Linked DNA regions of Daphnia pulex. The protein of the gene in region 1 interacts with the protein of each later gene in a pairwise test. Links are inferred from orthologs where the notes say so. Each region holds a gene or a part of one and is shown on either strand. Other genes may lie near its edges.

The links.
Region 2: the proteins of exosome component 10-like (region 1) and exosome complex component RRP43-like interact in binary tests that used the Homo sapiens proteins (3 or more experiments, as listed by UniProt). The link is inferred for Daphnia pulex from reciprocal best matches to the Homo sapiens genes EXOSC10 and EXOSC8.

What each region holds. Positions count from the first base shown.
Region 1 is NC_060022.1:1,682,365-1,686,850, forward strand, and holds the start of exosome component 10-like, read right to left. Parts: upstream 2,824-4,486; 5' UTR 2,641-2,823; coding exon 2,590-2,640; intron 2,519-2,589; coding exon 2,382-2,518; intron 2,319-2,381; coding exon 2,207-2,318; intron 2,147-2,206; coding exon 2,036-2,146; intron 1,968-2,035; coding exon 1,599-1,967; intron 1,530-1,598; coding exon 1,386-1,529; intron 1,327-1,385; coding exon 1-1,326. Other genes in the region: transmembrane protein 98-like, read left to right, coding at 3,240-3,409, 3,479-3,740, 3,854-4,045, 4,154-4,252. UniProt on the Homo sapiens protein: Catalytic component of the RNA exosome complex which has 3'->5' exoribonuclease activity and participates in a multitude of cellular RNA processing and degradation events.
Region 2 is NC_060025.1:4,769,967-4,774,430, reverse strand, and holds exosome complex component RRP43-like, read right to left. Parts: upstream 2,857-4,464; 5' UTR 2,721-2,856; intron 1,571-2,720; exon of another isoform or gene 1,492-1,570; 5' UTR 1,430-1,491; coding exon 1,413-1,429; intron 1,354-1,412; coding exon 1,179-1,353; intron 1,118-1,178; coding exon 823-1,117; intron 757-822; coding exon 636-756; intron 569-635; coding exon 465-568; intron 407-464; coding exon 288-406; 3' UTR 228-287; downstream 1-227. UniProt on the Homo sapiens protein: Non-catalytic component of the RNA exosome complex which has 3'->5' exoribonuclease activity and participates in a multitude of cellular RNA processing and degradation events.

The DNA.
Region 1 (4,486 bases):
CATTCCTGGATTGGGGCTCTTGGATGTTGCTGGATTAGGGCTCTTGGATGCTGACGGCACTACTGCATCCGCCGACTTTTTCGATGGGGAGCTGGAGTTTGATGGAATTACAGATGTTTCAGGAGTAGCCGTTACTCGTTTAGTACTCCCTACTTTCTTCTTCTTCTTGTTAAGTCCCTGCGCTTTCAACGCCAACTTCTTTTTCTTCGCAGGAACTACTGCTACTGCTTCCGCCTCTTCTTCCATCGCTTCCGCTTCACGCTGGGCATCGGGTGTTGAATGCGCCACTTCTTCCATGAAATGTTGGCGCAACTTTTCGACACGTTGTGCTTCTGCGGCTTCTTCGGCCGACTTTAGAGCTCTGACACGAATATATCTCGTGTATGGAGAAACAAAATTAGTTGATACATTTGTCACGATGCCAGAATGAGCCGATTCGGCGAAGATTAGAGCTTGTGGGAACTCTTTTACAGTGACGCGGACTCCAAACTCCTCGGATCTTGACGCCATTGATTCGATCGTTTGCGGATTCAGCAGAGTGGGTAGGTCGTCTCGGATGTCCTGAGAATGTGTCAAGTCGTGCATACAATAAAGGGGGTCTTCGGTGTCTTGATCCAATGGAGTCGGCATCATTTTCGGGATGGCTAATGGCTGGCCGTGATGTTGTAGAGTGGCGAGAGGCATTTCTCTGGCTTTTAATATGATTCCATGGAGATGAAGTAAATGCTGACGAACGAGCGAAGGGATAGGTGAACAACAGGCAAGGATACCTTGCATCTCCTTAGGTAGAACATCGGCGATTTGTAACAACATGTGTTTGGGTAGAACAAAACCAGTGCTCTCGTCTTCTTCTCGAGCTATTCGATCGCGCCAAGCAAACAGTTCTTTTAATGCAAACAGCTGACGTTCGTTGAAAATCTTCTTGCTGAGCCTATACAATTCCAAGTGACTTTCGGCAGTGATAGGGGGAATTCTGTAACGTTTGAGACAAACCAGTCGGCTGTTTTGCCAAACTGCTGTCAGCAAATTATCTCCTGTTCCCTTCATCTTCAAATCCTTTTTCATCTTTTCGTAAATGTATCCTAGGTAGTGGGTATCTTCTCGAGCATAATTGACCATTTGCTCAGGCAAGGGACGAATTCGCCAATCGGCTAGCTGGTATTGTTTGTCAGCAATAACTTGGCAATAATGACGAAGGAGGAAGGACAAGGACAGCTGTGCAAAACCCAATAATTTGGCAGCGTGATAAGTGTCAAAAAGATTAACGACGTAGATACCGAAATCGCGCTGAAGCCACTGAATATCCATATCAGCTCCATGAAAAATCTAAACGAAAACCAACAAAATAAGTTTGTTACTTCTTCAATTAAACAGTTAGCTCATACCTTAACAATCTTTGGGTTGCAGAAAACTTCATTTAAAGGCTGTAGTTGATCCCATAGCTCTAAAGTGTCTATAATGTAGTCAGAACTGCTTGTTGAAATTTGCATTAAGCATGTTAGGCCTTGAAAGGATCTATATGAATGGGCCTGGCAATAAATAATTAAGGAACTTAATAAGGTTCACCAATTTAAAAACTGCTAGACAGTGAATAATACCTCCAGATCTACAGCAATCACAGTTTCCTCAAGCAAAACTTTCAAAAGACTTTTTAAACCTTCTTCAGTATCTATCATTACCAAAGGGATTTCTTGAACACTTGGGAATGGAGGCACTTCATCAAGTACGGTGAAGAACTTTGGATCCGGTGTAAAACGTTCCAATTCAAATTCGTACGGATGGCTAAACTCTTCATCGCCCAAGTCATTCAATTCTAATAGTATCGCCAGTGGTTTCAACGAATGAGGCTTATCTTTGATTTTGGGGATAAACGGTCCAGGTGAATTCTTGATTTTCTCTTTGAATTTCAACTGTGGTCTCAGAATGTTTTTAGCAGAAAGAAGTTTGTAAGAGGTTGCTGGTGAACTCTGTAAACAAGATGAATACTTTATAGATTCAGCATCTAAGACAACAATTGGTATGAAAAACTAGATACCACAGAATGCCGATTCCAACTGCCATTAATATTTGTAGTTTTTGCCATCATCTCAACAACTACAGTTTCTGCTTGTTTTTTTAATCCAGCAGCTTCATCTAGAGAAAGATTCTGAAACGAAAGCAGTTTTTTTTAACAGGTGTAAAATTCTAATAATTCCTAGTAGCATACTATTCGCTCCATCAAGATGTCATTGTTGTCCGACACCAGCTCCATCTGCTCTTCCAAATCCAATTTTCCCACCTTTCCTGTTAGTCCATAGTGTCCGTAAATTGTGGTCATCCTTGACAAATAAAAATTTTAGGATCAAACAAAATTCTTATACTTAACGGTAGCTGTAACTCACAAGTTAGTAATGCGACCACCAAATTCTTTCATTGCGCTGGCATATGCTGGATAACTTTGGTAGTAATCCCAGTCTGAACCACTACTTGGTAATTCATTAGAGTACTTTGTGACCTTCATTGCACTTTGAAATAATTTCTAAATAAACAGAGAAAATCAAGTTGTGACTGATATGAAATTTCAAAATGTTTGGCCAGCCAATGCTCTACCTGTTGAACCTCTTGGGCATTTCCATTCTTCTCACTTTCTTTTTCACTCATTTTAAAAATATTCTCTGATCATCAATTGCAACAAAATCTTATTGCGATTATTCACAGAAAACATTAAGCACGTGAATCGCCTTGTTTCAGTCTCGCCGTTGACCAAAGAATCATGCTTTCAGAATCCACTTGTCGTCTGCTACATTATGCATGTAATACACCGTTAGTTAAACAGTTGATTTATTTATTATTAAACTTAAAAAGGATCTATATTACTTAATTAATTGAATATCTATGAACAAGTAAAATATTTAGTAAATTTAGAATATTTTTCAACCCACGACTAAATATTTTTTATTCATTTGAAAATGCTATTGCGCTTTAAAATTCTGCCAAGGGCGTTATAAAAGTTCCCCGAAAATAACAAATCAACAAGTGCCTTGACCATCATTCTTTTCCATAAAATAATAACAATTTTAATCCCGCCGTAAAAATGTTTGCACTAGTTGTTTATTAACTTGGACTTTCGTTATTGAGTACTTATAAAGGTTCACTGTGTCATCCAAACTTGTCGTTTTTGCGAAGGTAACTAATATATGACAGACGCTTGAAACGATCGAAAGATTTTCTTATATTGCTTTCTTTTTCAGCACATAACAATGCACGCTGTTGTCGTTGTGACTGGAGGGATTTTGACTTCCGTATTCATTGCTGCTCTCCTTGCGCTATTGTTTATATGCAGATATAAACTATGTTGCTTTAATCTTGGTTCTAAATTTAAGAAGAAGGAACAAAGCCCACAAGTGCAGCAGAATGGATTCCATGTGAGGTAACTATCTCAAAAACGAACAAAGACTTCTTTCGCAGTTGGGAGTAATTTTGCTTTTGAATTTCCCAGTAGGTCTGATATTCATCTAATCAGTAGCCTAGAGATGGAAGATGAAGACTACATCATGGACAATATTGATCCTGAAGATTTAGTGATTCACCCTGACTTGGACAAAGTTCTAGAATCTCACAGATGGAAATGGGTGGACGATGCCCTTGGAATTGTTCCTCATTGCCTTCAGATTTTAAAAGGCTGTCACTTGATGAGTGAAAGGCTTGTGACTACAGCTATGGCTTCTACAGATCAACAGAGATTTGTTGAATTGGCAATGGTACAACTCTCATTATCTAAAAGAAAAATAATTGCATGCATTTCTGTTATGTTGGAATTCAGTTGTGACACTCCAAAGATTACTATGTGTCTGAAAGTTCTGTTGTGTTTTAGGTTGCAAAATCTGTCCTTCCATTAGTTGACGACGTCTTGCGTTCCATGTGCCCACCCATTCAACCACGCGATGTCGAAATCCGAGCCTTTGCCCTCTTGAATGCTGTCAACCGCTTGAGCAAACTCACCGAGCGAACATGCAATGTGTCGTGGCCATCAGCTATTTTCGAAGAGATGAATATGCATTACCAGGTAACGTGCATCTTTTAAATGCTACACGACTTGTTTGCTTGGAAACGCGAACTGGCTCTGAATGTTCTCGATACTATCTGCTTAACTTTTCATTAATTTGTACTGCAGAAACTCAAAGCCATCGCCCGGCGCTCTGAAACTCAATTATGGAACGAACGAAATCTTTACAGGGAAGGTGTGACCATAGTCGAATCATCCATGACTTGAAACACGAATAATCTCGAAAACCTTCGTAATCTCCGTCCAAAATATCACAACGTATCTTAACAAAATTAGCCTCACTAACCTAAATGCACAATGTTCGTTACAGTGGACTCATTATAACGTCTGACCAAGTAATGTACCTTTATTAATGGCTCTAACGATTCAACTATCCTTTTTGTATTTTCCTTTTTTAAATGTAACCACTCGTTATCAATCAAAGTTCGTTCCAAACTATTT
Region 2 (4,464 bases), on another chromosome or scaffold:
ATCTGTTGGTTAATGCAGGCTATTTATATATTCTACTTGGTATCGATTTTTTTAATACTGTTAATTACTTGTTTCGGCTAGTGCCTCCAGGATTATTATTAACATGTTGTATGAATCATTCCTGTGATGATAGCTCACGCGAGTTAAATACATCGGTTACGTAAAATTGAAAGTAGTTGAATGTTTTTAATCATGAAGTAAAAAATTTAGATTGAGAAAACTTTGAATTGAAACTGACATTTGAAACTGTATTATTTTCAATACCAAACAAGGAATGACGAACAATTTCATCGTTCAGCAATAGATGATGAACAAGCCTCTTCAATCAATCTTGCAACCTCCTTTGTTTTCAATTCTGATTGCTGAATAAGTTTTTTCACCTGTTTCTCATCTAAAGTACATCCTCCTGTAAAGTCAAGGGAAGGTTATGTCCAAATTTAAGAACATCATAGAAATTTTTTTACCTGGCTTATACATATGTGTAACTGAAGTACCCTCCATGGTAATAGATGTTAATCCAGCAGCCAACTGCTCCTCTTCAAATGTAGGATCACTGATCAAAATACCACTGTTCAAAATAATGAGAAATCATGATTTCATAGAAGTTTCTTCATGTTTTTTTTTTAAGCACATACTTATCAAATAAGGAGAATGTTGATGTAACTGGCTGCTTAATTGTGTCAAAACTCATTTTTTCATTTGGGTTGGAAACTAGTTTGTCCATCTCCTCATCATAACTCACAATGGGAAGTTTCACTGTAATGAATCAGTGAATGAATTAGATTATAGAAAATAAAACATAAAACTTTAGAATAGAATTACAATTTTTCAGTGCAGCTACTAATGCCATCACACAAGCATCTAGTAAACTCCCATCAAGGTTAATGCAGAGTAGATCACAATGAAGAACCCAAGCCCATTTTGAAACCTTTATGCACAATGTTTCCAAGTCCATAATAATATTGTTATTGACTAATTCAGCTATAAACTGGGTAGCAGCTTGAGCTGTTTCTCCAGGAGGGCCAGATTTTATTTGTGAAGAACATAAGGATGGCAGTGTCACATTTGGGATGATGAAGCCTTTAGAAGGCTCCTCTCTTTCTGGAGCAGCTAGTTCCTGGATTTGATAGATTATTGTTGATAATAGTTTTTGAAAAAAATAGTTATGAGTGTTTTACAGCTTTGATGCCACAAATGACAGTAGTATTTCCACATTTGACAATAGCTGAGCCATCAGCTGTTCCTATGGAACCAGCATTTAGAGTCATTTTTCTGAATTCCAGCAGTTTCCGACCGTCTGGGCGTGACTTGCGATCAAGGAAAGTCTTGTAAAATTCCAATGGTTGCAGTGTTCTGAATTAAGAGGTTGATATCAAAGTGCCCGCAAAAAAACTTCATAAAACATGACTTACTTGTGGTCAGTTGCCATGTTTAAATTTGTATTGGAAATAGAATCAACGCATACAGTGACGTGATGCGTAATCGGAAACACTAAATTGTAATTAAACAGAACATATATTAGTTTTGGAGTACTGAGTTTACACTGACGTAAGTGAAATAATTCATTACCAAATTGTAGTGATGTTTCGTTAGTGCTTTTTCTAAACGTTAGCGTTATCCGTTAAGTTAACGATGTCCAATTTTTTCACGTTCGTTAACGCCGTTAATTAACGCCGTTAAAAATGTCTCCGTTAACGAAAATTCGACGTTATTTTTACCGTTATTTAATAAAAAAATTGCACTATCAAATCACTGAAATCAGTCACGGTCTTGATTACTTATATTTAAATTGCTGCTGGCGTTGAACAATGTCACAATGAAGCAATGATCAACTAAAAAAAACAGAAACTGCGGATTAAATAAACGCACAGACAAAAGAAAAAAAAACAAGTTCCAACTAAAAAAGTAAAGGCCTCAATAAATCCTTATTGCAAGTGAGGAAGACTTTTGCGGCCAAAACTTCTTCCGCCGTCCTATTTTTGTGTCCTAGACAGTGCCATCCGGCAATGGAAAATTCGCGTTCAGATGATGCCGAAGAAACTGGTATAACCAGTAAATTATAGGCCATTTTGGATAATTAGGGGAAACGACCAGACAAATCCTTCCAGTAAGAGATCACATCTTGAACTGGTGGATCCTTAGAAGGATCAAATTCATGACTTGCAAAGTGGAAGTTGTCTAAAAGTTCAGTTTCAATGCAGTCGAGGGAAGTGGCTAGAAGGTAGGAGCAGTCGAAATCAGGATCTCTTTAATCTGTCATGAAATTAAATCTTCTTTCGAGATCTTCTAACATCGCAGATGCCACGCTTATTCACCGTCAACAGGAGCATCAGAGTCTGAATCTGACATTAAAGATTTACACTCTGATTCTAGTTGTTTCCCTACTCTACTTATACAGTTTCGTTTGCCACGTTTTGAAAGCAAAAAAAAACCTCAGAGAAGCTAAGAAGACTACTGCTCACTGTCATTGGCTATTTAAATTCGTTTTCATAGTCAACCTACTACAGTAAAATGTTGGAAGCGCGCAAAAAATACAAATTTCATTTTGAAAAATCCAAAAATTTCATATTTGGCAGCGCTGTTAAAAACAAAAATAACGTCTGAAAATAACGTCTGAAAAATGCCAAACGTTAGCGTTATCCGTTAAGTTAACGAACCCCAAAAAAGGTCCGTTAACGGACTTTTCACGTTATCCGTTATCGTTAACGAAACATCACTACCAAATTGAATTTCAAAGGTTCAAACAATAATAGTAGGTAGCAGACGACGTAAAATCTAAAAGCATGGCCAAGCAACGTTGTCAGAAATTAAAAAGTGTGTGTTGCTTACTTGCTTAGTTGCTTCCTGTTTGCTGCTGTTTCCTGTTTGCGAGATTAAATAAAACCGATTGGCAGAAAATCAGCAGATAACACTTGAAGGATATTTTTCCTAAATATATAGAAAAAAACGTTCGACTCTCGAAATACCGGTCACCTTTAGAATTTAATGAACTTTTTTGGCATCAATATGGTAATGGGGTTGTAGACAGAAATAGTTCTGTCTGACGGCAAAAAATCGGTAAATTCTGTGGGAACAAGATAACTTGATATCGTAAAACCCAAAAGGTAAAAAAGTTTGGAAAATACCGAAAATCAGTACAACAACGGTTCATATCGCACAATTAGTAGGTTGCCTTTCAAATCCAAAAACCTCATTTATGTACCTCATTTAGTAAACTGTTAACTAGCTCAAGTCAGGAGTTATTTTACTTATTTATTTTTTTACAAAACAATTTGTGCATAAAGAATGCTTGAGTGAAAATGGTGTCAGGGAAAAATGTCGTGAAATAAAAAACAATTTGTGGACTAATGTCTACAGATGCCATCAGTAACATTAGATGTTATGATTTTTCAATCGTGCGTACCGTTTTAGTACCTTAGGAAAGGTGACATTCCACAGTTCAAAGTGAACTGTATCCACTTGGCCTGTTCATTCTTAAAATAAATCCAAGGGATGGAATCTCTCGCAATCCCGCGACAGTACACGCGTGTAGTGCTATTGTTCAGAATATGAGGCGCGTACCGCAACAGCCTTAAAATAAAATTTCCCGTCGCATACGCCGGCCGATTAATATATACTCTTAGCGAATTAATATGGAGTAGAAATTGAAATTTTTCGGTGGAGGGTTTCGAAATGTAATTTTAAACGTCCTCGGGTGGAATAGGCGAGGTCTGCTGTGTTCAGTCATATCGAACCCCAAGGACATTCTTTGTCTGTTATTCAGGAAAGTCCTCATGGTCGTTCTTGAGAAAACCCTTTATTGATGACGGGGACGTTAGCTCTTTTTAAGTTTGCATGTAACAACACCTTCGCCGTCCGAGGAAAAAAAATTCATAAAAGAGAAAATCAGCACATAGCTACCGAACCAAAGACGTCTTTACTTTATAGAAAGTGAGTTAGTAGAAGCTGCCAAGGTCGAGTTAAAAACGCAAAAGCTTTCGTCGATTGCTTTAGTCATGGTTGAGCTTTATTTCGACCCATAAATGATCAAGCTCAAACTCGATTTGATTTGATTTATTTACACCTTTCTTATCATCATCATTTTGGACAGCCAAAGATTTGATTAAAACAGGTTTTGTCAACTACCCAAGTCCTCCACTAGGTGGACAACCAATCGATTCATTTTTTTCTTTCAGGTGGCTCTCTCTCTCTTTGATACACACACACCCGTTTTTGTGAGAGTTACACAAGGGGCAGTTACTGGCTCTCCCACTAGTCTCCTTCCAGCCACCGTCACGACCGAACGCTGGCTGAACGACGATATGATCTTCAATTGTATCGACCGAGTTGTCGGGAACGCTTTGACTCAGTGCCAACTATCGAACTGAAGCCGTCGTAGGATTTCGACCGAAAGAAATTGAGCATTGCTGACCTTTTTACTAGAGTGTTGTTCATTCTGCGCAGACGCTACAATTCACGACAGCG